Linked DNA regions of Macaca mulatta. The protein of the gene in region 1 interacts with the protein of each later gene in a pairwise test. Links are inferred from orthologs where the notes say so. Each region holds a gene or a part of one and is shown on either strand. Other genes may lie near its edges.

Region 1 (3,986 bases):
TGCTGCCAACAAGGGAACAGAAAAGATTTTCCAAGATTCTGTCAAGCCTGGTGATCCCATTTGTCTTTGGAAATGAAAGCCTAATTAAGAGACTCCCTAGGGACAGGTCAAAGGAGTTCTTTTATCTCCATCGTCCTTATCCTAGTTCCTCGATGCGTTAGTCCTTCCCTTTAATGTAGTCTACCCTAAAACTAAAGAATACACATTGTGCAAGTTTCCACCTTTGCTTTCTCTACTGTAAATGCATTAGACTATTAACAGAATGAAGAGTTTTAAATCCCACCTTCCTTATCTCTCAGCTGATGTTTATTTCTTAAAGTGTTTTTGAATAAAATTTGACACTAAAAATTCTTGTAATACTTTTTAAAATTGGATAACACTTTTTAAAAATATTGGAGTCTGACTAAAAGATTACAAAACCCCACGAACATCTTTATAATAAAGCTATTATGATAAATAATACTTTGTAAAATTTCAATTCGGTTTTATGTCCTAATTTCAAAGATTGTGGTTGCATATTATTTATCCAGGTTAAATTCCTGTTGGATTATATTGACAGTGTTTCATTTCTTTGAAACAATTTTAGGGTTAAGAGTCTCTACAGTTATAATGGAGAATATCAACTGTAGTTTCAGTTACTCAGGAGGTTGAGGCAGGTTGAAACTGGGAGGCGGAGGTTGCAGTGAGCTGAGATGGCGCAACTGCACTCCAGTCTGGGCGACAGAGTGAGACTCTGCCTCCAAAACAACAACTTAAAACTTGAAGAGATGAAAATGTTCTATCCAACCATGACAATTCCGTGTGAGTTTTCCAGTGTTTAGAAACACTTGCGGGCACCACTCCATCCCTGACCAGCAAGCTTCCTCCAGAACCACTCCACACCGCCATGTTAAAATGTCAACTTTTAATTTGGGGACTCAAACTACAAAATTTAACTATGTCTCCTCTTACCAAGATTCACAGTGAACATCTGGGAGTCAAGGTAGGCTTCATAACGCTAAACAGACCACAACGCTAATAACCACCTCAAATATAGCCTTCCAGCCTAGCTTTGGTCTGCAATTTCCCACTTCAGAGCCTCGGCGTAATGTCGCAGTTGCAACTGATTGGTGTAACGTGCTTGTCAGTCACATAGAGAGGGTGGGGCCTCAAAGCCTGATCTAAACGAGACGCCGTGTCGTACGTCATCGCCAAGCGACTAAAGCTGGAAGGGAGGGAGCGGGGTTGTGAGCAAACGTTGGTGGTGGTGTTGGTGGTGGTGTTGGTGGTGGTGGTGGTGGTGGTGGTGGTGGTGGTGGTGGTGGTGGTGGGGCGGCCTGAAAAGGCATCATGGCTGCTGCCACGGAGCTTAGTCGCCCGAACAGCGGTGACAGGAGCCTGGAGCGAAGATGCAGCCCTAGCCTCTCCCGAGAGGTGCTCTACGAAATCTTTCGCTCCCTACAAACCCTGGTTGGACAGGTGAGAGGTGGCCGGAGGGACTGGGAATATGGAAGCCATCCGGCCCATCCCTCCATTCTTTTCTTCTAGCAGGGGCCGGGGGCAGCTAGGCCTGCTGAAGTGTGGGATGCCGTCCCTGAAGCCGAGGTCGGGGAGGAGCGCGGGCCCAGCCGCCTCGCTCGGAGTGAGGAGGACGGCGGTACCCGTAGCCGAGTAGTTTACCTTGCAGCTGTCCTCTCCAAGAGTGGGTGAGGTTGGTCTAAGTGAAAACCCGGCTCCGAAAGAGGCAGGCTTGGGGAGAATGAATGTGGAAAAGCTTCACTGCGAATTTAGGAGGCGCCTAGCGCTCAGGGTCCTTTTTCCTCCAACTTACTCTTTATGGGAATTGGTTGGTCAGTAGGCCTGAGATTTATAGAAAAGCGCGCGCTTATTAGCTTTTTCTTGGCCGGGGGGAAGGAGTAATTTGTTCTTATGAGTTACTTGGTTTTGTTTATTTCTTTTTTCCTTGGGGCTGTTTTGGGCATCTATAACCCTTTCAAATGGGGAGGAAAGTAAAAGGAATTCGTTTAAAATACTTCTAGCGTAAAGTTGGATGAGTTATCCATCGTTGATGCTGTTTGCGTTTAGAACTGTCGTTATTTAACTATTAACTAGTTTAACTGACTGATAAATCGCTTTTGCAGAAATGCCATAGTAAAATTGGTTTTGAATTTAGTGGGCTTCTTCGATCAAGTCACTGTTTCGTTTCACGGTGTAAAATTAAAAGCAAGTTTTAAATGAGAAACAATTTAAAAGTACGCTTGTTTACCTGCCTTTTAAAAGGAAATATTTTCTATCTTACATAGACCATTTTCTAGCCGTAAAAGTTTGTTTTGAGGCTGGCACTAGCGCATGTGGACACGGCAGGCATTTGTGTCAAAGATAATGGTAAATTCTTATGAAAATAGAACATTTGTCTGATTTGTGAAAATTATTTTTAAAGCCTTGAGTAGATGGAGAATCAGCTTTTTAAAAAGTTACTATTTTAAAAAATCATAGTGTGTTGTGTCTTACAAAGAACATTACTGTAAGTTAAACGGTTTTATGTAATGACGCAATTATTAATGGAGTCTGCTTAAAGATACAACTTTTAAATTCAGTTGTTTGCCAAGTGCTTACCGAAATCGTTTTTTAAAGGCTTGGGGTGTTTTGTTATATATTCCAGTCTTAAGACCCAAGACCTTTTAAATGGTTTAAAAGTTAGAGAACTTTTTATGGCGACGTTGGAACTTAAGTTTGTTTATTTTCTAATGTCAAGATGAAAAAAGTTTATGCTCACCTATTAACAGAAGATGGAATATTTTTTAAAAATACTGAGCAATGATTTAAACGTTTCTTTTGAAACATTTAGCATACTGAATTTTTCAAACTCATTAGAAAATTTTAAACATTCAAGTACTCTACAAGTAAAGAAGCGATTACAATTTATTTGTGTCACCTGTCAAAAATGTTGACAGTAAATATTTGGTTACTTTACCATGACACAGTGAAGGGACCTCCTATACAGGTGTCAAAAATATGATTGTTTCATCAGTTAAATGCAAACTGTTTTCATAATACTCTATATTTTGAGAAGTATTAAGAGTGAAAGCCAGAGTTCCACACTTGCAAAATTGCCCCCAGAGAAATCAGTATTTTCTTTTGCAACCACTTTAAAAGATTTCTAGAAGGTATGTTGTAACATGCCTAACTTCATCCTGTGTCATCCCTAAGTATCATTGTATTATTAGATCTCAGTAGGAAACATAAAACTGAATGTTAAAAAGAATTTTTTACTTAAGATCACAAAATTTACTAATTTTAACCTTTTTGCTTGCCTCTGGATGGTCCATCTTACCAAGCTAAACACTTACTTATTTTTAGCTTGGATTTTTGTATTAATTTAGTAAAGTGTTTACTGAAAATATTTATTTAAATAGTCTATATTAATAGCAGACTAATAGAGATTTTCGAGTGAATGGTTTACTCTTCCAAGTTCTGTAGGGCAAAATGCATAGAATTCATATTACTAATAATGAATTTGTTGAATGAATAGTTAGGTGTATTAGAATAGTTTTAAATTAATTTGTGACATTATTATGTGAGTTTCTTAAAAGACCAGTTATTCTTAATTGCACTTGAAGCTTATGTAATTCTGCTGAATTGAAATGACACTATGAACGAAACATTAAGACTTATTTTTCTATAAGTTATTTTCTCTAGAAAATGTGATACTTTGCTTTGGTTGAGGATTTGCCTGCTTTATCCCCAAGCTGTATTCTTAAGTTTTCTGTGATCAACTGTAGATCTCTTTGAAGACTATGAAAGTACAATAATAGGTTACTTCCATACATAATACAGGTTGTTGTCTAACAAAATCTTTATAGGAATTAAAATAATGTAAATGAATGCATTCACTTTAACGTAAAATCTTAACATATTATAATCTTTGCCAGTGCAGCCTACATGAAATTTCATGTATCTTTACGCTTGTCTAATATGGACTTCTAAATGCTTCTGTTCTCATCTTC
Region 2 (4,228 bases), on another chromosome or scaffold:
CCAGCCTGGTCAACATGGTGCAACCCCATCTCCATTAAACGTACACAAAAATTAGCTGGGCATGGTGGCATGCGCCTGTAATCCCAGCTACTTGGGAGGCTGAGGCAGGAGAATCGCTTGAACCTGGGAGGTGGAGGTTACAGTGAGTCAAGATCACACCACAGCACTCCAGCCTGGGTGACAGAACGAGACTCCATCTCAAAAAAAAAAAAAAAAAAGAAAAGAAAAAAAAAGAAATAATAACTCCATTTTATCAATTGGTCTAATTTCAAGGCCATGAATTTTTTAAAAAAGAAGAAAAAGAGAACTTTATTAATACCCAGGACCTCATTTACAATCACTGAAGAGGAAAGTGAGCCCATGTGGGACCCTGGCCCTCAGCTACAGAGGTCGCATGTCTTGGTGTGTGGCTGCGGCGCTCACAGGATTTTAGAGCTTCCTAGTCTGTACTCTACCTGTAGGCAGGAGCCAGTCATCTTATTTGTCTGTGGATTTGCAGGAATATCTAAGCATTATTATACCCATTTTGTAGATAATGAAACTGAGGCCCAGAGAAGTCAGTACGTTGCAAGGGCTCTTGTAGCTATCTGGAGCCAGAGCAAGTCGGTATCTATTGAGTATAAACTAAGTTTTGTGGCCCTACTTTTTAACCTAGCCATTGGGACACCTGATTTCTCCTGACAAGTCTGTGTGGCATCTGAGTGCAAGCGATTGTCCAGCAGATGCTGACATATTGGAGTATCTAGGGATGTTCTGGTGGTTGTTATGGCACAATATTTGGACAGTTGTGAAGAATCCTGGAGGAATGGCTGCCTCTTAGATTTGACAGGCATTAAGACCCTGGACTATTCTAAGATGGCTCTCCCTCGCAGCCCGGATGGATGCAAGCAGAACAGCAGCACCAGGGGGAGAGCCTGAGAGGATGGTGCTGCTCATCATGCACTCTGTGCTGTCAGTGGGCACTGAGAGCAGTGCAGGAGAAGCATCCTGGGACGAAATGGGAGGCAGGAAGGGCAAATGGGGAGTCCCTGTGTGCACCTGCTTAGCATCCCCCGGCTACACACAAATAAAATTTTGTGACTTCCTCTTGGGAGGCTGCATACTGGACTCCAGGGGGCCAAGGGTCTGAGTTGGCAGTCCCTGGTGGGTTAGAGACTGATTTTGCTCAGAGTGATCCCAAGACCAGCGTCTGGAGAGAAAGAGGAGGAGAGAAGCCAACCATCCACAGAGAGACCAGCTGAGAGGTGCAATGCTGGCTGGAGTCCCAGCATTAGAACTACAGGCTGCAGGCCAGACATGATGGATGAGCTCCAGACTCTGCAGAAATCACCCTGGAGAGTGGGAAACGCAGGGCTGACCAAGCAAGGGAGAAAGATGAAACCTCTGCATCCTTCCCTGTCCAATAAGATGGCCATTAGCTACCCATGGCTGTTTACATTTAAATTAATGAAAATTAGATAAAACAAAAACGCAATTCCTCAGTCTCATTAACCACATTTCAAGTGCTTGATAGCTATATCTGGCTAGTGGCTGCCAGATTGGACAGTGTAGATATAAGATATTAATATTTCCATCATGCAGAAAGTTCTACTTGAATGTAAATTATCTCATTCATATATTTTGTATTGATTACATGTTGAAATAACATTCTGGACATATAGAGTTAAGTAAGCTATACTATTAACTTTACCTGCTTCTTTTTACTTGTTTTACTGTGGGTAATAGAAACTTGTTGATTACCAATGTACCTCACATTTCTGTTGAACAGGGTGATTATAGGTGGATACAGGAACACACCTCCATTTATTCATTGTTCTTAATACCACATCCATCCAATGGTATTTGACTGGATAATAACTGTAAAAATCCCTTCTCAACAGTAAAGGTGACTGAGGCAGCTCAGGGTAATGGGGCACATGCAACTTTGAAGGCACAAAAATTCAGATTCAAATCTCATCTTCATCCCTCTACTAGCTTTGAAGTCTTGGGAAAATTACATGCCTCAGTTTCTCATCTCAAAAGTGCAATCAATGAATGATCCGCTGCATAGCATGTCTTCGAATTGTAAAGAAGACAGTGGATAGTGCACGTATGGGGGCTAGCGTGGGCTCCTGGTAAACCTTGGTAAAAAGGAGCATTGTTGTTATCATGAACATTTTAAGTGTGAAAGTGTAGGGCATTATGGTCAGTTTCTCTGGCCTCAGCCTACTCACAACCTTACTCCTGCCCTCAGCAGCCCCTCCCAGCCCTCTGCAAAGCCCTTGGCACAGCCTGGACACTTACCTGCTGGCAGCTGCTGGCCCAGGAAGCCCGTAGGGCACCCCAATTTCCCGAGCGCGTGGCCTTGCTCTCCAGGTGCATCCGCAGTTGTGTTTCCAGCTCCTGACTGACTTGTTCAAGGGCATGCACTTTGGCCATATATTCCACCAGGCAGCCCCCTAGGTCCTCAACAGCACCATGGTCCCTCTCCAAACCTGGAGCCGGCACTGTGGCCAGGCCTGAGCTCCGCAGGCCCTGAAGGAAGACACTGCTGATGCCGAGGGCCCGGCGGGTCACACGGGCACCCAGGCCACCTATGCACCCACTGGGTGCTGTTCCTACATAGACCCCAGGTGCTCGGACAAGGCCACTCATGGCATTGGTCCTGGAGGCTGGGGGGCTATCCAGGGAGGATGATGACCGTGGCCCCCTGAAAGATGCCCTGCGCCTCTGGAGGGGCATGCTGGAGCTGGCACTGGGGGGCAGGTCCACTACTACTCGCCTCTCGCTCATCACCCCTTCTGCCTCTGTGGCGCCCAGTGGGTTTACAGAGTCCAGTGGCTTTTGGTTTACAGCCCCAGCATCCCTGTGGCCTGGTCACGGGCCTCTCTGGAATCTCCCCTATCCCCGGGGCTGCTTTGTCTGCTGTCTTCCATGAGTTTCCATCATTCACTGAGCTGAAAGAGAAGAGGGCACTGCCCAGGGCTGTGTGCAGAGAGGCACTCATGCATTCTTTGATGCAGGGTCATGTGCCCAACCTCCCAGATTATTCTGCTGGTGGTGGGGGAGGCTGGATCAGTGCAGGCTGTGGGGGTAGACCATTTGGGTTTGTACATTTTACTACCTAAGAGTGGGCAAGGCAGGCATCAGGCAACCCCATTTTACAGACGAGTAAACTGAGGCTCAAGGACCTCAGATCACAAGTGTGGTGATCACTTGCCCCAGACCTCAAATTACAAGCTAGGACTCAATCTAGCTATTTTGGGGCTTTCTACATCCCTATGTGTACTGGCACATGTGAATGTGAACACATGTCCACACAGGCAATGGAAGATGAAAAGTGTCAGGAGGCAGCTCCAGGGACCCAAGAGAAAAGACTTGCCTACGGTTTCCTCTCTCAGTCCTGACAGCAGCTTCAGGTCCTTGCCTCGCCTCTCTCCTTTCCTCCTCAGCTCTGTCCTCTAATGCTCTGCTGTTCATCAGCTGCTTGCTGTTGGCCAGGATGCTTCCTCCCTCTGGACCTCACTGTTTGAACATTGGCATGAGCCTCCAACTCTCTGATGCACCAGATAAGGACCTTGGGTAGATTCAGGTCCCACACATTATGTTCCAGCCATTCCCTACACCTCTGCTTCTCCATCTGTTGGAAAACTGAGAAAAACAACAAAGACGGTGTTTTCCGGTAAGCTCTCCAAGGGTGCCCCAAGTTAGGATATGATGACACCCCTGGGTTTTAATTACTGACCTTGGCATCCACTAAACCATCAAGGGTCACACCTCAATCCATTCTCTAGGGTCAGAAAGGTTCCTCCAGTTCCAGGATGACAACATGGACCTAAAAACCGCTGTACATAAGTTTTACCCTGGAGAAACCAGGTCACCAAACCCCAGAGCTGGATATTTTTCCAAATGCTGTAATGTAGGAATGTACCTCAGGTGAGAGAAGGAGAAGGGAGCCAACCTCTAGTGAATACCTGATCCAGCCTGGTGTGTGGATGAATCGTATAGTTTATTTCATGGAATTCTCAACTCAGCCTCAGGAGGAAGGAGGTCCAGGGTTGACAGGTACTGCCATATGGGCTGTGAACCTCACAGTTCCAAAAGTACCATATCATATGTTCTACAGTTGGCCACTATCCTCTTACGTGAGGAGGACCCTGAGAACTGCAATGACTTGCCCAAGGTCCCGTGTCCAGAAAGTAGCAGAGCTGGGAGCAGACACCCTCTTCCAACCTCTGGGCCAGTGACT
Region 3 (4,271 bases), on another chromosome or scaffold:
TAGCCTAGTTGCAAACTTTCGGTTTTATACCTCTGCTCCTCAGTACTGAGAATGTTTTCCTACGGTTACCACACATTCTAAGAAGACTATTATCTAATGTTACAAGGGAGGCTCTTTGACCCCTTGGTGTCACAAGTCTGAACTGTAACTGATCCAACTGGGAACTGCCTAGGCAAGTAAGGGAAAGTGAAGACGGAGACTCCCAAGGTCATTTCAGAACCGACCTGAACTTCACTCTTTCCTCGTTCTAGATTATGTGTAATGATACGGGCACACTGGAGCCCACCCCACCCCCACTCCCCAAAGCAGCACAATTACAGCCTGGGAGGGGCAAGTCTTGCGGTGTCCCTCAGTAACTGCCATTATTTGAATGCGATATAGGAGCTCCCACATAGACCCTGCTCTACCGGGTTAGAATCTGTTTCTAATCACGTGGAATTTAGATTTAAACCATAGTTAGATTTGGGATTCACCACCGTTTCTACTTTCATTCATTTAGTGGCTTCCAGCCCTCTCCCGGCCCAGTCTTAGCACTTCAGAGGGAATTACACGGGAGTTACGGACTGGCAGGGGCGGGGGGTCCACCAGCTCCCTGTGAGAGAGCGCCAAGGGCCAGGGCAGCACCTCCCGGCTGGGTTGGGTCCGCCTCGCCTCGGGGATCCTTGGCGCTCAGCGCCGCCCTCCCGCGACTGCGCTACCCGCCGGAGCCCGGCGTCTTCCCTTTCCTTGTCTTGTGGACGCCGCCCTTCGCTCCCGGGAGGATTTCGCCTCCAGCACCTCAGGCTTTTCTGGCGCAAAGGTCGCCAGCCGGAGCGAGCCCAGGCGGCGGCTTCACTTCTGCAGAAGGAAAGCGAAAGCCGCGGCGGGCGGGCCGAGGGGGCGGCCGAACGCGCCGCGTGGCCGCTGTTCCCGAATCCGCAGCGGCGGCGCCAGGGCGGTCACCGAGCCCTGCGGACCCCGGCTCAACTTCCAGCGCCACTCGGGTGCCCCAAGCCCGCCGCAGCTCCCCGCGCGCTCTCCAGCCCCCCCACGCAGCCCCCGACGCGCCCGGGGCGCCCTCCCGCAGCACTGGCCAGGCCACCGCACCTCCCGCGCGGCGCTCCCCCGGCCAGCCAGGAGCTCCCCGGCTCCGAGCAGGACGCGTCAAAGGGAGTTCGGAGGTTCAGCAGCCCCCAGCGTCGGCTTCTCGGGTGACATGACGGCCTCTCTGGAGCGCGGGCCCGCCTCCGCCAAGCCTCCACCGCCGGTCCTTACAGCCCAGCCACCGGAAGATGCAGCGCCGGGCGAGGGGCGCTCCCAGGATTTTGAGAAACAGCCTCATTCGCCTCGGGAGCACCTCGATCCCCCACCCGCACCCTTTGGCCAGATGATTTTAATCCTGGGATGCCGCGTTGGTGGGGGGGGACTGGGAGCTGGAGCGGGAGGAGAGAAACCGGCAGCGCGGAGTTGCAGCTGCGCGCCGCTGGCGGCGAGGGGTGGCGGTCCCTGCGGCTCTGCCGGGCTGGGGGAACGGGCTCCTGCGCCTCTGCCTCCCGGAGGATCGCATTCGCTCATCCTTACAAACCGCACACACACACACTGCCGCTAGCGCCCCCACGCCACAAGCAGGAATGCGGAGGTCAAAGCCACTGTCCACTTGAAAGCAGGAAAGCAGGGGCAGAAACACTGAGATGGGGGCGGAGGCTCTGGCCTCATCGGCGAGGTTCGCACCTTCCCAGGCTTCCTAGTTTCCCCAGAGCTAACAAGATCTGGCTTCTGACACTCCGCTCTCTGGGCTAGCGGTTCGAGCTGCAGGGGCGGGCGGGGACGGATTCGGAAGGAGCACTAGAGAGAGAGCCCGCGCTCACTCCTGCCCTCCTCGCAAAGAACTGGCCAGCCCCACTCGCGTCCAGCCCACAACTAGGCGGCGGGGGCCGGGGACCCAGACCCCAGGTCGCTCCAACTCCTGCGAGGGCGGGGAGGGGAGTGACAGCAGCAACCACTGCGCGCGCTGGCAAAAAGCACGGAGTCTCCGAATAGGCTAAACGGCGGGCGCGGAGGGGTGGAGGCAAGACGGGGCGGAGGAGGAGTTGCCCGAGCGGAGAGGAATGACGTCCTCCAGGGCCTTGGGCTCCGAGGGACCGAAGACTGGTGCGCTCGCCGGGCCCCGCGCACTAGCTCTGGGGTTCGCAGAGGCGCCGCGCTCGGCTCCCACGGCGGCTCCAGCACAGAGCGCAGGCGGTAGATCCCGGCCAGCTTAAACCGGGCGCAAGCCCTCTGTCCGCCTCAAAGCACCTCTCTGCTCGTCCCTAGTCTCCAGGTGCCGGTCCGAGAGTCCCTGCCGCTTCCGGGCGGACCCGGCCCGGCAGCCCCCGGTCGGGCCAGCCTCGCCCCTTCCTTGCTTTCTCCCCCGTCGACCTCGAGCCAAGGGCAGGCGGCCCGCACCCGCGCCCCTACCCACGGGGCTAGGCGGCGCTCCCGGCCTACGCCCGACTGCCAAGAAGGATGGGGCACTGGAAGGGAAAGGCGCTCACCTGGGTCACCGAAGCCTTCCTTTGGGGCCCCTCCCGGAGCTTGTTGGCAGCCCGCGGGCACAACCTTCCTTGGAGGAAAAAAGTAGCGCAAGGGCAGAGTGAGGTAGGGCTGCTCACAGGTCCCTCCGCAGGGGCTCTTTCTTGCGAATTCTCCGAGGTCCAATCTCGGGCTCGGCGGCGGGAAAGAGCTCCTGGAGGCTGGAAGGAGCCGCCAGACCCGGGCTCCTCCCGCAGCTGCGGTGGCGGCACCTCCAAGTTGCCACCTGCAGCGCGCTTCGGGCGCCTGTGACAGCCCGCGCCGCTCAGCCCTCGCCGGCCCGCCCTCCCGGTCCTCTCGTTGGCTGCGCCCGGCGCCCGGGCGGTCCCGGCGCTCTGCCCCGCCCTGAGCCCGCCCTCGAGCCGCGCGCTCGCAAAGTGTGGGTCTCCTTACAGGCCTCCCTGGGCTTTATAGCCAGCGGTCTCTGCAAGCAGGGAAAGAATTACACACACACACACACACACACACACAATTTTGTGTAGCTAGGGACTGGAGGGAAAGGAGAGGCTATGATAAATGTCCTTTCGTGTGCCTTAAGGGGACCTGGTAACTTGGTTTCTTTTGCTGGTATTAAATTTTTGCAATCTCTGAAAAGAGTTAACTTCACAGCGGCGGTCTGGGGATGTAGGCCAGAAAGTGGCTTGGGGGCTGTTTCATTTAAGCATCATCCAACTTCACATGAAGCGCCAAAATATGAAGAGCAGTGTAGACCCAGCTTGCACCCTTTTCTCACCCAGCCTGCACCCCTGCAGCGGCGGATCCCGCAGTTCCAGCGCCTGCAAAGCCATCCCCACTGGTGCCCACGGGGTTTCCAGGCCTGAAGGCTCAGTATGTCACATGCGTGTTTGCTTGATTCTGTGGCCTGTGAGTCCAGGCCATGAGAATATATGCCCGTGCACACTAAAAACGAGACCTGTGCTTTCTACAACTCTTGGACCTTCTAAGTAAACAAAGGGAACATTATCTTTCTTTTCCTTCCACCTCTACCCCAAAGACCTGGACAAGAGTTCACTGCACAGTCTATCCCTGGGCACTCAGGCCAGTCTTCACTCACTCTGCCTCCTAGTAGCTCCTGGAGGCGTGCTTTCTGGAAAACGGATTTCGTAAAGCGTTCTGGAGGAGGAAAAGCTATAAAATATGACAATCACAAGTCTGGAAAGCCATCCAATCAACCAGAAACGTCTGACTCTTGGGTGTATCTATGTGAAAGAGGTACATTGCCAAGTGCCTATTAGTTTAATAACATTTTGAAATTAACTGCCCAAATAGCACATTTTATAGCCCATTAGGGAAATGTCTAGGTTTTGAGAGTGCAGGTGTTGCACTGTTAAATGAGACTGGAGTGTGCACATGCAGCTCACATCTAGCTGTGTTTTGTGGAATCCTCAGCAGGCTGAGGCAGAGGAAAGAGGCTTTCTATAGGAAGTCAGAGGTGGCGCTACACAAGGGCATATTGGAAACACTTGGCACCAGTCAAGAAGCCACACCCTTTCAACTGTTGGTAAGTAACTTGGAAGACTGCTGCATAGCACTGGTTCCTTGCATCAAAGCAAAGATTTTGTTCCATGAGACCCTATCATCTTGGGTCCACTTTGGAAATTAAAAGCAAACTTTTTTCCCTGCAGCCAAGTGCTTACTCTGGCCACTCTCAAAAGAAGCAAACTAGTTCTCACCTTTGCTCTTGAAACTCCTGAAGACAGCAGTCTAGTGGCAAAGCATTC
Region 4 (3,500 bases), on another chromosome or scaffold:
CACTAGGATTACAAGCGTGAGCCACCATGCACAGCCCTATTTTGTAGTATTTTATGGCTTGCCCTTTAAACATGAGCATAGTATCTAGAGTAATAGTGGAGTGACACTAGTTGCCTTCAGAGCTGAGTATCGATTTGTTTAGATGCTGCAAGACATTGTGAAAAATGTGACAATTTCAAATGGAAACATGAAATAAAGTTTTTTGTATGTTTAAACTGAACTGTCAAGATAGTTTACTTTGAAGATTTGAGTTTCAAAAATGTATTATCTAAATCATGCATTTTCTTAGTTTCTTATAATTCTTTATAATGGATTTCTTATACCAGAGCTCCTATTTTATCTCAAAGTTTGATTATTTTGTTCACATTGTTCTTTAGATGCTATTAAACTACAGCTGGTTGAAGCAGGCCTGGTAGAGTGTCTACTAGAGATTGTTCAGCAAAAAGTGGATAGTGACAAAGAAGATGATATTACTGAGCTCAAAACTGGTTCAGATCTCATGGTTTTATTACTTCTTGGAGGTGAGCTGTAATTTATGCCAGCCAAAGAATGTTGTTTTCAGATTTTTTTTAATTTATTGTCTCTTCTGTAAATACTACCCTAGGCATTTTCTCATATTCCTATCTCACCTGCTGTTGAGGTGATGATTTTGACGTCTTAAACATGTCATTGATAGAACCAGACATAACAAACCCGAAAAAGAAGTGTCTTCACCATCTTCCAACGTTTGAAGAGCTGTCCCATAGAAGAGATAGCTTTGGCACCAAGGGATTAAAGAAAAGCTAGATGGCTCCCTAGGACTTGGACTAGAAAAATGCTAAACTCTATTGTCTAGTATCTATTAAAAGTTTATTATAAAAAGAATCATTACTTTTCCCATTATGAATGTAATAGTTTGTGAAGTATGAGTTTCCCAGTTGGATATTCACCTAAGAATATGAATTTGTTACTCTTAGTTTTCTCTTGCTTAACTATTTGTTTCATTTACCTCCAGATGAATCCATGCAGAAGTTATTTGAAGGAGGAAAAGGCAGTGTATTTCAAAGGGTACTTTCTTGGATTCCATCAAATAACCACCAGCTACAGCTTGCTGGAGCATTGGCAATTGCAAATTTTGCCAGAAATGGTAAGCATATTAGTTCCTCCTTTGTTAGTCAAATACTCTGTATTTGTTTATTTTTGCTTTGCCGTCACATATACTGAAACTGAAACAGTTTAGAAGTTCTGTAATATGTGTATAATGCTGCTAACTTTTCAGAAATCTGAAATACTTATAGTGACATTCCTAACAAATTACATATTTTATGCAATTCAACTAAATTCTAATAGTTTAAAGATCATGAAGTGCTTCTTTTGAATACTTGGCACTTCAGAGCTTAGTAAGTTTGAATCCCATTCTAGTATACACATGCTTTCTTTTGCCTAGTGATTTTATTTTGGATCTAATTATTGAGTATTCATTCTAGGATTATTGTGCCTCAACTTATACTTTTATGCCCATAAAACTTAAGTATGAATAATCCCTTGGCTTTGTGTAGAATGTTTAATTTAGTTTAATAGTATTTTAGGGGGCACCAGACTTCTATGTTATGAAATCTGGCACTACTAAAAAACTCAAATACAGTCTAGAAACTCATTCTTATGTTCCTCATGAAATATACTATGTCTAGGAAATACAGTTTATTTTTCTTTTTAGTTTAATCATCTTCCAATACGAACTGTTGGTATATATTATAATGGCTGACTTACTCTATTTTTACTCCTCCTTTTTGGGAGTGACTCCCTAATAATGGAGGTAAGAGTGCCATAATATGGATAATTATTGAAACTAGATATGGAGTAAATAGTGGTTCATTATAATATTCTCTCTGCTTTGTAAATGTTTGAAAAATAATTTAGGTATCAGCCATGATAGCAAAAGGTAGAGTACTATCACTATAACATTGGGAGAACACAAGCATCACAATAAATGAAAAATATTGGACATTCTAACCATGTGTTTCTACTTCTGATGTATTATCTGGCTCTAAACTGAAGATTTTTCTGGTAATTTTTCTGATTTTTAAAATTTTATCTAGTTTAAGAATTTTGATAATACTTCTCACTCAGTGAACAGAAAAACCTATAAATCTGATGGGAGAAAGATTTGGAATTCATTTTATTGTATACCTCCATTTTCCCTAATGTAGATAATAGCCAGACATCAGTATTATAAGATATTTATAGATATTTTAAAGAGGAAGAAAAAGATGTGTGGGTTTTTTTTCAGATGGAAATTGTATTCATATGGTAGACAATGGGATTGTAGAAAAACTTATGGATTTACTGGACAGACATGTAGAAGATGGAAATGTAACAGTACAGCATGCAGCACTAAGTGCCCTCAGAAACCTGGCCATTCCAGGTAAGACTTAAGAATAGAAGGCAGCTATGTAAAAAATAAAATCCATCATTTGGGGAAGCTATTTACTGTATGTGATTTGTGAACCTGCTCTGATGAAGAAAATTAAAAAGAAAAAATAGTCTTCACATTGTTTACATTTTTTCATGCTAATAAATGGAGATCATATGTTAAATAAGTTTTGTGAGACTGTACAAGAATAATCTCTGCCTTCATTCAGATATCCTGTTACCTTTTGTGAATTCTTCGATTTTCATCATGTTGTATAGTTAAGCTTTTTTGCGGTTTTTTGTTTTTGTTTTTTTGAGATGGGGGTCTCACTCTGTCAGCCAGGCTAGAGTGCAGTGATGCAATCCTGGCTCACCACAGCCTCTACCTTCTGGGCTCAAGTTATCCTCCCATCTCAGCCTCCTGAGTAACAGGGACTGCAGGCATGTGCCACCATGCCCAGCTGATTTTTTATTTTTTGTAGAAACAGGATCTCACTATGTTGCTTATACTGGTCTTGAACTCCTGGGCTCAAGCAGTCCGCCCACCTTGGCCTCCCAAAGTGCCGGGATTACAGGTGAGAGCTACTGCACCAGGCCTTAAGTATCTTTAGTTGAGGTAGAATAATGACATCAATTAACAGAATCCCCTCAAGAATGACTTTCAGTTGTTGGTGGTGTTTTTCCATAAGCAGACGTACAATATTTTAAAATAGCCTTAATGTGCCTTTGGAAGTCATGAAATCACATTATTATGGAAAATACAACAAAAAATAGTTAAAACTATTCTTTTATTCTACTTTCTAAAAATAAATTTTTGGTTAGATGAAATAGTACAATTACATGATGATCTAATCCATTTGAATTGGTTTATATAGGATAGTAACATTTATTAATGTCTATAACATTTATATTAACACAGTTGGATCAAAAACAGAATTGTGCTTTATTGTTGTAAGAGGGTAACTGTGTAAGTAAATGTTTCGGATTGGGTTTAAAAAGCCATGATATTGTCATAAAAATTATGATATTGTCTGTTACCCGCTTATACACAAATAGGATACAGACACACACATAAACAACTGAATTCCATTCTTAAAATTGACAAAAAA
Region 5 (3,213 bases), on another chromosome or scaffold:
CCGGTACGTGTGGAGCAAGGAGCAGGAAAGCCCTTACCCATTAGTCGTTTTGTAGAGATTAATTTGATCCTGTGATGCCTATCATTTTCTTTGCTTGTAAAAGTTGTCTGTGTGTTTGCCTTTCATTGTTGGGTATGTCATGGTCTTTCTACCTATTTCTTGGGTGTTTGTTGTTGACCCAGAGTTAAGTTCAAAGGGTTCTTGACACTTCCAAGATGTCTGCCATGAAGAGAAAATGTGATTCAAGGAACCGACCGACCCAATGGGGCTCTTTTGCTTCTGACTTCCTTTTGGTGCTTCTGTTCTCACATCCTAGATCCAGTCTCCAACTTTCATGCCTCTGATCATGTGCCCAAGCCAGGAGTGCCAAACCAACCGCTCAGGAGGGCGGCTGTATCTGCAGACACGGGGCTCCAAATTCATCAAATTCCAGGAGATGAAGATGCAAGAACATGTGAGTTTGGGGTACGTGGCCCTGGGCAGGTGGATTGAGAGTCCACTTGAATCCTGTAGTCACTTGTGGAGTGGCAGGAAAAAAGAAGAACGAAAGAGGGAAGTGCAGGAGGGAAGTGGAACTAGAATTTCTGAGAGCCTTGGGAAGGGGAAACTCAGTAGCCCTCCTGTGGGCTTGTCTGTGACTAGGCAGCCTGGGAGCCTTTGAGTGGGATGCCTAGGGAGGGAAGGTTGGGTCCTCGTCCATTTCTCCTGGCCTTATGTGCCTTTCTCTCCCCTAGAGTGATCAAGTGCCCGTGGGAAACATCCCTCGTAGTATCACGGTGCTGGTAGAAGGAGAGAACACGAGAATTGCCCAGCCTGGAGACCACGTCAGCGTCACTGGTATCTTCTTGCCAATCCTGCGCACTGGGTTCCGACAGGTGGTACAGGTAAGGAAGAGTTTGACATGAGGATCGTCCCCTTTTCCCTCACCTACTCATTCTACTCGCACAGAGAAAAGTGGGCAGCAAAACCCCAAACAGAACCCAGGGATTTGTCAAGAAATCGTTAGGGAATCCAGTGATGGGCAAGTTGAAGGGATTGCATCTGTATCCTGGCATTTTCCTGCCCAAGGGTTTACTCTCAGAAACCTACCTGGAAGCCCATCGGATTGTGAAGATGAACAAGAGTGAGGATGATGAGTCTGGGGCTGGAGAGCTCAGCAGGGAGGAGCTGAGGCAGATTGCAGGTGAGGGGCAGGGGAGATAGAGGAAATTCCATTTACATCCTAGCCCCCTTTTCCCCCAAAAAATACAACCTTAACTTCTCTACAGAAGAGGATTTCTACGAAAAGCTGGCAGCTTCAATCGCCCCAGAAATATATGGGCACGAAGATGTGAAGAAGGCACTGCTGCTTCTGCTAGTGGGGGGTGTGGACCAGTCTCCTCGAGGCATGAAGATCCGGGGTAAGAAGGAAAAAGGGAGAGGCTCGGGGGGATGAAGTCATTTAGGAGGGAAAAAGGATGACAAGTGTCTCTGTAGGTCAGAGTATAAGAGTGGACATCTTGCGTTCATGGACACAGGGAGGGCTTAGAAGTAATGCTGGGTGTTAGAGGGAGGCAGAACTCAAAATTGCTCTGTTGTTGTCTAAGTATTGGGAGAAGAGTCATTCCAGGGCTGCCTTCCCTTCCTCCAGGCAACATCAACATCTGTCTGATGGGGGATCCTGGTGTGGCCAAGTCTCAACTCCTGTCGTACATTGATCGGCTGGCCCCCCGCAGTAAGTAGTTGGGCCTTGGGAGAGGTGAACATAGTGACAGATAGGGCCACAGTGTTTATTCAAAAAATGGGGGTGCATGGTGGCTCACACTTGTAACCCCAATGCTCTGAGAGGCTGAGGCGGAAGGATCGTTTGAGACCAGGCTGGTCTACTAAAAAGTTTGTTTGTTTGGGTATTTTTGTTTGTTTGTTTCCTTTTTTTGAGACGGAGTCTCAGTCACCCAGGCTGGAGTGCAATGGCGTGGTTTCGGCTCACTGCAACCTCTGCCTCTCAGGTTCAAGCGATTCTCCCTTCTCAGCCTCCTGAGTAGCTGGGACTACAGACACGTGCCACCACACTTGGCTAATTTTTGTACTTTTAGTAGAGATGGGGCTTTACTATGTTGGGCAGGCTGGTCTCGAACTCCTGACCTCATGATCTGCCTGCCTTGGCCTCTACCAAAGTGCTGGGATTACAGGTGTGAGCCACTGCGCCTGGCCTCTACTAAAAAGTTTTAAAAATTAGTTGGGTGTGGTAGTGAGTGCCTATAGTCTCAGCTACTTGGGAGGCTGAGGCTGGAGGATGGCTTGAGCCCAGGAGCCAGGGTGTCAGTGAGCCACAGTTGTGCTCTGAAGAGAACCGGTGGGAGGGGAAGGGGAACGTTGCCAGCCCCCCACAGATCCTCGGGCGTCTCAAGAAGGCCTGGGGGAGGCAGTGGAATGATCCCAGCACAGGCCTTGCTTCCCTGGCCCATTTATTGTCCTTTGTTTGTTCCCCTTCTTGTTCTTTCTCTCTTATGGTTCCTTATTTCTTTTCTTCCAGGCCAGTACACAACAGGCCGGGGCTCCTCGGGAGTGGGGCTTACGGCAGCTGTGCTGAGAGACTCCGTGAGTGGAGAACTGACTTTAGAGGGTGGGGCTCTGGTGCTGGCTGACCAGGGCGTGTGCTGCATTGATGAGTTTGACAAAATGGCCGAGGCCGACCGCACAGCCATCCACGAGGTCATGGAGCAGCAGACCATCTCCATTGCCAAGGCCGGCATCCTTACTACACTCAATGCCCGCTGCTCCATCCTGGCTGCCGCCAACCCTGCCTATGGGCGCTACAACCCCCGCCGCAGCCTGGAGCAGAACATACAGCTGCCTGCCGCGCTGCTCTCCCGGTTTGACCTCCTCTGGCTGATTCAGGACCGGCCTGACCGAGACAATGACCTACGGTGAATGGAGCTCAACACCCAAAGAGAGGTCCCCTGTAATGATCTATAGGGAGGAGGGGAGGTGAATCAAAACAAATACTGTGCTCCTGGAAACCCCAGAGCCTCCCCCTTGCATCAGGGGCTGGTCCACGGTTCTCGGGGAAATGGTGGGTTGGGGCTGAAATGCTGATGAGGATTTTCAGGAAAGCGTGTCCCTCCTATACTGTAAGGAAGTGGCAGAGTCAAGGGAGGGACACCTAAGAGGACATGGGTGTGTAGCCCTAAAAAGGATGTTCCTCCTGGCCTCCCCTCTATCCAGGTTGGC
Region 6 (4,120 bases), on another chromosome or scaffold:
TCCTGGCTGCCTCACACCAACAACGGTGGCCAGTGGACACTGGCGATGGTGTCCTGTCATTCTGGTTTGTGAAGAGTTTTTGCGCCAAGTCAAACCCTGGGAGGAGTGGGGAGAGCATCCTCTTTCATTAATTAGAGGTGTCTCTATTCATCTCCGTAAATACAACATCTAGCACAAGACTTGGCCCACAGTAGGTGTTTAAAAATGCTTGCTGAGGCCGGGCGCAGTGGCTCACGCCTGTAATCCCAGCACTTTGGGAAGCCGAGGCGGGCAGACCACGTGAGGTCGGGAGTTCAAGACCAGCCTGACCAATATGGAGAAACCCCGTCTCTACTAAAAATACAAAATTAGCTGGACTAGGTGGCGTGCGCCTGTAATCCCAGCTACTCGGGAGGCTGAGGCAGGAGACTCACTTGAACCCGGAGGCAGAGGTTGCAGTGAGCCGAGATGGCGCCATTGCACTCCAGCCCGGGCGACGAGAGTGAAACAACGTCTGGGAAAACAAAACAAAACAAAACTTGCGGAAAGAATGAAATGACCAAGACTTCTGTAGGGCCGCCCGTCAGGTTCTCAACTAGTCACTCCACATCTGATTCATATCTTAAAGCAGCCTCGCAGGTAGGTCTGCATCATTTTCCCATCCTACATCGGAGGCGCTGAAGCCCAGGCGGGCTTCCCGAATCGCCCGGGCCCACGCTGCAGAGTGAAAGCCACAGCGGCAAAGCCTGCACGCTGGACGCTGCGCCGGAGCGTCCCCAGGTGCAGCAGGCTGCGCTCCGTAAGTGGGTCCTGGCGGGAACCGCGTCCTGCTGAACCCCGATCAGGCCCGGGGAGACCCTGGGAGCGACGCGGCGGGCGGGGTCTGGGCCCGCGGCAGTGGCTGAAGCCTCGGCTCGCTCTTCCTCACAAGGTGCGAATCCAGCGCCTCCAGCTCGGGAGGGACCTGACGTGCGGGACGCGTCCGCCTCAGAACCCGAGGCGCGGCACATACTCGGCAAAGGCCGCCGGCGTCCCCGCAGCAGTGGGAGGAGACTAGGGATGCCCGGAGGAAGACGCTGACCCGGCGAGCACCTGAGCGCCCACCTGTGGCTCATCCCGGAGACCCCCCACCGACCCGGGCGGGGCCTGGGGGCGTGGCTCCCGTCTCGCTCAGCCAATCAGTTCCCCGGAGCAGCCGCCCGCCCCCTCCTGAGGCGACAGCGCTTGCGCACTCGGGCCGCGGTCCTCCTCGGGCCCCGCCCCCGGGGCGGTGCTGACGCTCGCGCCGACGCGCTCGACGTCGGGCACGTCGACGCCGGCGCCGCGCAGCCGGGCCCGCTCCTCCTCCGCTCCGCCAGTGTCCGGCCGCGGGCCGGCCTTAGTGACTGGGGCGGCGGGCCCCGGGGCCGCGGCGTGGGGCGGGCAGGCGGACGCCGGCCGCGGGCTGCCTTCGTCGGCTCCCAAGCTCGCCCGGAGCGAGCAGCCGCCCGCGAGCCGCCGCGGAGCCTCCTCGCCCGCTCCCGCCGGTGAGCAAGGTAAGGGAGCGGGACACTGAGGCAGGCTCGGGGCCCAGGCGTCACCGGCTGGTCCCGGTCTCCGCGGCGGCCACGCAGCCGGTTGGATGTGTTCGCGAGGAAGGGTGCGCTCCGGGGCGGGTGGGGGCGAGGCCGCGGCGCCGGGTCGCGCTGGGAGAGCTCTGGCGGGACCCCAGCGCCCCGAGGGATGGCTCCGGGGACTGCGCGCCGCCCCTCCCCGAGCCCTGCGCCCCGTGACCTGGGCGCTGGGGCGAGGGGCGGGGAACTGCGGCCGCTGAAAGCCCCGGCCCGAGCGGGCTCCGTTGTCAACGGTCCTCACCTCCGGGGTCCGGGGCTCCCGCCGCACCTGATACAGGAGGGGAAGGAGTACGGTTCGAGCAGGCTGGAGGTCATCCCCATCAGGTGCGCCGCCTGGGCCATCCTCTCTCAGGGGTCCATCGCGCCCCGAATACTGCCCGAAAGACTCAGAAGCGACTTCCCCATCCCCTCGCGCTGTCTTTATATCCCAGACACTTAATGCCTCTCATCATCTCACCTTTCACTTTTCCCTCTTTCCTAGCCGCCTCCGGCTGTATATCGACCTGCTATATTTCCATTGTGAGTTTTTTTTTTTTCGGTTGTAAACTTACGTAAGTTAGGTTGACTGATCAACCGTTGCAGCCATTGAAAAAAAACACTTCTGCCAGCGTTTAACGAATCCAGTTCCTTTTAGTGCTCACCAGCTCCAGCTCAAGAATTCAGGGAGCCGTCAGTTCTTCACAGGAGCTGACTGCACACATTCCTGCAAGATGCCTGATGGATTTTGTACTTGTCAGTTTTGCTGGCTGTATGCTCCTTCTGTGCTTTTCCTGAAAAATGATTGGGTGACATGTGTTTTGACTTTCTTCTCCCCCCCCCACCCCCCACTGGGAAGTAAAAAAAAATTAGGTAACAGAAGCACACTTGTTTTCGACAAAAACAAGTACAGCTTTGCAAACAGACTACCCCAGGGTTTGCCCTTTTTTGTGAGGGTAGTCCTCTGGTATCTTGACCCCTTCCCTGGATTTTTGTCTGTGTTAATGTCTTCATGTTGTGTATTTCTGCACTTAATATTTGCCCGGTATATGTTTTCCCAGCTTATTTACACACAAAGCGTAACAGATCTGAGGATAATGAGGCTGCCCCTCTTTTTAGCTACAGATACCTGTAAAGTTGCATATTTGTGGGAACCTGTATTCTGCACTTGATGACTGTAGCCTGGCTCTTTCATTTCAAGATGATGTGCGAGGTGATGCCGACCATCAGCGAAGCAGAAGGCCCCCCTGGAGGAGGTGGAAGCCATGGTTCCGGCTCCCCTTCGCAGCCAGACGCAGATTCACATTTTGAACAGTTGATGGTCTCCATGTTGGAAGAAAGGGACCGCCTTCTTGACACACTGAGGGAGACTCAAGAAACACTGGCCTTAACCCAGGGGAAGTTACATGAGGTTGGTCATGAAAGAGATTCCTTGCAGAGACAGCTCAACACGGCACTTCCACAGGTATGAGTGCTTTTAACTTGAGACTCTGTAGATTATTCTCCACTAAATGTTTTTTTTTTTTTTAATTGGTGTCATCTTTTGTTAATGTTTCAGATGAGTATTTTCCATAACCATTTGTGAAATGATGGTTTCTGGTGTTTCTAAGTCAAATACAAAGTTCCTAGGGATTAAACTTCTTAGGGAGAACAAATTGTTGTACTCTAAAGTCATGTGAAAATACCTCATTATTTTCATTCCTATCTTTGGGAACTGCCTAGGTTCAGGAAGTTCTCCAGAGTTTCTGAAAAAGGGCTCTGAAGCAACCAATCTATGTGGTGCCTCCGTTCTGTTGTCTTCAACCTTCTCTTGCTAAACTTGTGCTTCCCATGGATTGTGTCTCATGTGTTTCTAATTTCCTAATATAATTTAGTAGACAAATAGGATTTCACAGAAAAAAAATACTGTTTTGATAGCCCACCTTTATCAGAACATCTAGGTTTTGTAAGTCACATTTGTTTTAGGGGATAGAAGACTGGAGATTGATTCCTTAGGAACTTCTTCCTTGGTAGACGAGAATTTTAAAGCTTAGGCCGGGTGTGTTGGCTCATGCCTGTAATCCCAGCACTTTGGGAGGCTAAGGCAGGCGGATCACCTGAGGTCAGGAGTTTGAGACCAGCCTGGCCAACATGGCAAAACCCTGTCTCTACCAAAAATACAAAAATTAGTGGAGCGTGGTAACACACACCTGTAGTCCCAGCTACTCAGAGGCTGAGGCATAAGAATCACTTGAGACAGGGAGGCAGAGGTTGCAGAGGAGCCAAGATTGCACCACTGTCTCAAAAAAAAAAAAAAAAAAATTTAAAGCTTAGAACAACTGAAATTATTTCTCTGAGTATATTACATTTGGACCAGTGTTTGAAAGACTTTGCTCATGGAGTTGAATGAGGATTTGCTTAATGGTAGGTAAAGGGAGAAAGTGTAAAAACTAGAAAAGTGTCAGGTGAGTGTCACGGAGCATAGTGGGAGAGAAGTGGGTTACTTAGGTGTTTCAGAGCTGTCTAGGCCCCATGTTACTCATCCTAAGTGCCTTTGGGGTGCATTCAGGTAG
Region 7 (3,500 bases), on another chromosome or scaffold:
TCTCAAGTGATATTTTTGGGTTTTTTAATAGTGCTTGCTCCCCAAACACACCCTGCTCCTAACACCAACCAACAGTCTACAATTTAGAAACGAACAACGGATGGGACAAGAGACCTGGGGTCTGCTGTTCGACCTCCCGTGCCACACTCTTCTTACTTGTGAGGGGAAGATTACGTGTATTTCCCTCAGTAACACTAAGAGGAAAAAATAAAATATTCTGAGCTCATTAGAAAGGGAGCATAAGTATTCTGCCTTTTTATTAGAAAGTTGATTGATCATGGCTGAACTAACCACCATTATCAACTGAGATGAGTAGGTTTTGAGGCTTGAAATAGAAATGGTTTGAAATGCAAATTTTTATGTGCAGCTACTGTTTTGACAACCGTATCATTCCTTCTTTTTTTTTGTAGGCTTTAGAATCCAAATTAGCAGCTTGCAGGAATTTTGCAAAGGACCAAGCATCACGAAAATCCTATATTTCAGGGAATGTTAACTGTGGGGTGCTGAATGGCAATGGCACAAAGTTCTCTCGATCAGGGCATACATCTTTCTTCGACAAAGGGTAAGTCCTGAATGTTTTAAGTGATAATTTTTTGAGTAGTAAAGTGACATTATTAAGTGAGCATAATGAAGCCTTGAAAAGGTAAACTCAGCTTGGCAAACCTGCCTGCAGCCTGTTACCATTCTAATCTTAGGGGACATGATGTCTGTTGTTGTCCTCTAGTCCCCGTGGAGTCTGTTGCCCCAGGAACGCTGAATCTGAGGCTTCTGTCCTGGGAAGCAGACTCTTGAAAGGCAGCAGTGTGAGGCTCTGGTGAGTCAAAACGACTGTGATAAGGTCCCTGTTCTCCAGGTGCTTACAGGCTGGCAGACTTGCAAATACTTTTTTGGGGTAGAAGAGAGCATCACAATTAAATATATGCAAACTGTACAACAGACATCCCCTGTGAGAATTTTGGAGAAATATAAAGCCCTGAAGTACTTAGGCACTGGATCAAATACAGTTTAGGAGATACAACTTTTGTATAAAGTTAAGGCTGTTTTGAAGACTGAAATAAAATTGTCTTAAGACTGAAGCATCCTTAATGCAAAAAATTTCAGTTGGTATAGAAGTATATGAACTAAAAAGTCATTGTTTCCTGCCTTCACACTGTTTCTGCGTTCCTTACAGTTATTCCAAGGCATGTCAAATCCTATTTTTATGCATCTGCTCTAAGTTGTTTGTAACACAGTTATGGGATTTTACTTTAAATATTGCTTTGCAATGTGCCTATCATGACTTATATTGCCATTATCTTTCCATGTCATGTATATTATTCTACCTCAATTTACTTATTTTTAAATACTGCATGGTAATACATGGTTGTACAAGTATGCCTTAATATGGGTCACTGTTAGGACCCGTGGCCTGGGATGCTCACGGTGCTGCCTAAGGTAGTTGTTACTGAAGCAGCCAACAGGCACCCATGATCCCCTGCCACTGTCTCTGCTTTGAGTCATAGAGGTCATTCTTGCTTGTTTTTCTCTGAAAGCAGAACAGGTACAACTCTAGAAATGTTCACGATTTCTTAAAGCAGCTGGCATTTTCTGCCATCCCCAATAATTGTGGCCCATTTATAAAGGAGCAGATTTGACACACAGTGCACTGTGAAAAGGCTCTTCTCCTTGTGGTGGAATGTTTTGGTTGATCTCTGTCCCTTAAGAGAATTTCACCCTGAGGTATATACATTTCATTAAGGGTTTTGTATTAAAAACACATTCTGAAACCTCACTATACAAATTAGAACTTTATTCTTTTTTTAACAAATTTTTTAAATAATTTTTTTTTTCTTTGGAAGAGATGCGGTCTCACTGTGTTGCCTAGGCTGGTCTGAAACTGCTGGGCTCAAGTGATCCTCCTGCCTCAGCCTCCCAGAGTGCTGGGATTGCCACCGCGCCCAGCTGAAATCAGAACCTTATTCTAACCATTGGGTTTCCTCGGGTGGAGTAAATATAAAATTGATTTTCCTCAGGCTTAGGAGTTTCAGGCAGACTTGAGGCAGCCCTTGTTTTTATACTGGAATGGTAAATGGAATGACTGGACGGTTTTACATGAAAGTAGCCATTTCCCCTAAATGATATGGAGAATGTTTAGGGTAGTCTTCATAAATGTTGGAAACAGTGCCTAATTATTTTTCCCTACAACTTATAATGACCCTCTACTAGAGTAGTTATTAGTCTCTCCTTGGAGTCATATTTCTTGATGGGCCTCAGGTGCCTTACATGAGAGCAGGCATGAACCATAAATGGATAGGTTGGACAGGTGCCTGTGCATGTGGAAGCCCTTAAGAACAGTCACGAGGAGGGAAGGATGACACTGTCTGTTCAGGGTCGCTACTCCTGCCTGCCACTTGCCTCCCAAGGCAGAGCACCTGGGCAGGGATTGCCAAGAGATGTGGGGACCTCAGGGTGAGCTGAAGCCAGGAACGGGCCTTGGGCACACTGGCTGCACCCCTGTCCCTTGAGAGCATCCGAGATGCAATTGTAGGCTTTACTTCTTGAGCTGAACCCGGAGTGGCTGTGCTTCCCAATCAGAACAGTTGCGGATACTTAGTGTTGGTTTTAAATGATAGACATTTTACATTGTGCCTTTTCCATTAAGAAAAACGCTTTTGTGAAGTGGCTATCGTGTGAGTGTTTAGCTTATGTGATAAGTAGATTGTGTATGCACACTGGAATAGGAACCTACTGGTGCTGGTGTTTTCTTTCTAGTTGCTGTATTCCTGAGGAGAACTCTTTTGTGGGTTTTGCTGTGTTTTCACTTTCTGGCCGCTTTGCTTCGATTCTGGCTTCTGGCCTGCCTGGCTTTTTACCTCTGGCCTTTCTTCCTGCCGACCTGTTGACCAGATAAACACCAAGATGTTGTGTACCGCCTGCAAAAGGAAGGGCAGGCTATCGTAGTTCCTAGGTCCATGACACACTCTGGCAGGTTAAAGAACACAAAAGCCTGTCTGTATAGAAGTGTAGAAGCATGGCTTGTCGTTTCAGCAGGAGAAGAGCGCCCCATTGGAAAAGGCCTCCACTGCAGAACCTGCCCTCCCTCCCTCTCACTCCTGAGTCCACTGTAGAACCTGCCCTCCCTCCCTGTCACTCCTGAGGTGTCTAGCACCGTGGCGATAGGTCACTAGTGCCGCTAGAAACCTGTGGCAGGGTTGTTTGGGGGAGAGATGTCATCAAAGTAGGTTTGTGTGGGTGTCCGTGTGTGTGCGTGTCCGTGTGTGTGCGTGTCCGTGTGTGTGGGTGTCCGTGTGTGCGGGTGTCCGTGTGTGCGCGTGTCCGTGTGTGCGGGTGTCCGTGTGTGCGCGTGTCCGTGTGTGCGGGTGTCCGTGTGTGCGCGTGTCCGTGTGTGCGGGTGTCCGTGTGTGCGCGTGTCCGTGTGTGCGCGTGTCCGTGTGTGCGCGTGTCCGTGTGTGCGCGTGTCCGTGTGTGCGGGTGTCCGTGTGTGCGCGTGTCCGTGTGTG

Evidence for each region.
Region 2: the proteins of MBIP (region 1) and BFSP2 interact in binary tests that used the Homo sapiens proteins (3 or more experiments, as listed by UniProt). The two-hybrid records come from large-scale screens. The link is inferred for Macaca mulatta from reciprocal best matches to the Homo sapiens genes MBIP and BFSP2.
Region 3: the proteins of MBIP (region 1) and EPB41L3 interact in a two-hybrid assay, tested with the Homo sapiens proteins (2 studies listed by BioGRID). The two-hybrid records come from large-scale screens. The link is inferred for Macaca mulatta from reciprocal best matches to the Homo sapiens genes MBIP and EPB41L3.
Region 4: the proteins of MBIP (region 1) and RAP1GDS1 interact in binary tests that used the Homo sapiens proteins (3 or more experiments, as listed by UniProt). The two-hybrid records come from large-scale screens. The link is inferred for Macaca mulatta from reciprocal best matches to the Homo sapiens genes MBIP and RAP1GDS1.
Region 5: the proteins of MBIP (region 1) and MCM7 interact in binary tests that used the Homo sapiens proteins (3 or more experiments, as listed by UniProt). The two-hybrid records come from large-scale screens. The link is inferred for Macaca mulatta from reciprocal best matches to the Homo sapiens genes MBIP and MCM7.
Region 6: the proteins of MBIP (region 1) and PPFIA1 interact in binary tests that used the Homo sapiens proteins (3 or more experiments, as listed by UniProt). The two-hybrid records come from large-scale screens. The link is inferred for Macaca mulatta from reciprocal best matches to the Homo sapiens genes MBIP and PPFIA1.
Region 7: the proteins of MBIP (region 1) and NDEL1 interact in binary tests that used the Homo sapiens proteins (3 or more experiments, as listed by UniProt). The two-hybrid records come from large-scale screens. The link is inferred for Macaca mulatta from reciprocal best matches to the Homo sapiens genes MBIP and NDEL1.

What each region holds. Positions count from the first base shown.
Region 1 is NC_133412.1:109,439,165-109,443,150, reverse strand, and holds the start of MBIP (MAP3K12-binding inhibitory protein 1), read left to right. Parts: upstream 1-1,186; 5' UTR 1,187-1,329; coding exon 1,330-1,458; intron 1,459-3,986. UniProt on the Homo sapiens protein: Inhibits the MAP3K12 activity to induce the activation of the JNK/SAPK pathway. Component of the ATAC complex, a complex with histone acetyltransferase activity on histones H3 and H4.
Region 2 is NC_133407.1:36,465,753-36,469,980, reverse strand, and holds the start of BFSP2 (phakinin), read right to left. Parts: upstream 2,801-4,228; 5' UTR 2,773-2,800; coding exon 2,284-2,772; intron 1-2,283.
Region 3 is NC_133423.1:76,749,355-76,753,625, forward strand, and holds the start of EPB41L3 (band 4.1-like protein 3), read right to left. Parts: upstream 2,801-4,271; 5' UTR 2,514-2,800; intron 1-2,513. UniProt on the Homo sapiens protein: Tumor suppressor that inhibits cell proliferation and promotes apoptosis. Modulates the activity of protein arginine N-methyltransferases, including PRMT3 and PRMT5.
Region 4 is NC_133410.1:107,709,248-107,712,747, forward strand, and holds part of RAP1GDS1 (rap1 GTPase-GDP dissociation stimulator 1), read left to right. Parts: intron 1-377; coding exon 378-521; intron 522-994; coding exon 995-1,126; intron 1,127-2,269; coding exon 2,270-2,404; intron 2,405-3,500. UniProt on the Homo sapiens protein: Acts as a GEF (guanine nucleotide exchange factor) for the Rho family of small GTP-binding proteins (G proteins) that stimulates the dissociation of GDP to enable subsequent binding of GTP.
Region 5 is NC_133408.1:47,403,609-47,406,821, reverse strand, and holds part of MCM7 (DNA replication licensing factor MCM7), read left to right. Parts: coding exon 1-3; intron 4-316; coding exon 317-454; intron 455-734; coding exon 735-884; intron 885-1,068; coding exon 1,069-1,183; intron 1,184-1,268; coding exon 1,269-1,400; intron 1,401-1,630; coding exon 1,631-1,714; intron 1,715-2,515; coding exon 2,516-2,909; intron 2,910-3,207; coding exon 3,208-3,213. UniProt on the Homo sapiens protein: Acts as a component of the MCM2-7 complex (MCM complex) which is the replicative helicase essential for 'once per cell cycle' DNA replication initiation and elongation in eukaryotic cells.
Region 6 is NC_133419.1:4,394,551-4,398,670, reverse strand, and holds the start of PPFIA1 (liprin-alpha-1), read left to right. Parts: upstream 1-1,320; 5' UTR 1,321-1,505; exon of another isoform or gene 1,506-1,514; intron 1,515-2,769; coding exon 2,770-3,033; intron 3,034-3,766; exon of another isoform or gene 3,767-4,120. UniProt on the Homo sapiens protein: May regulate the disassembly of focal adhesions. May localize receptor-like tyrosine phosphatases type 2A at specific sites on the plasma membrane, possibly regulating their interaction with the extracellular environment and their association with substrates.
Region 7 is NC_133421.1:9,963,356-9,966,855, forward strand, and holds part of NDEL1 (nuclear distribution protein nudE-like 1), read left to right. Parts: intron 1-410; coding exon 411-562; intron 563-3,500. UniProt on the Homo sapiens protein: Required for organization of the cellular microtubule array and microtubule anchoring at the centrosome. May regulate microtubule organization at least in part by targeting the microtubule severing protein KATNA1 to the centrosome.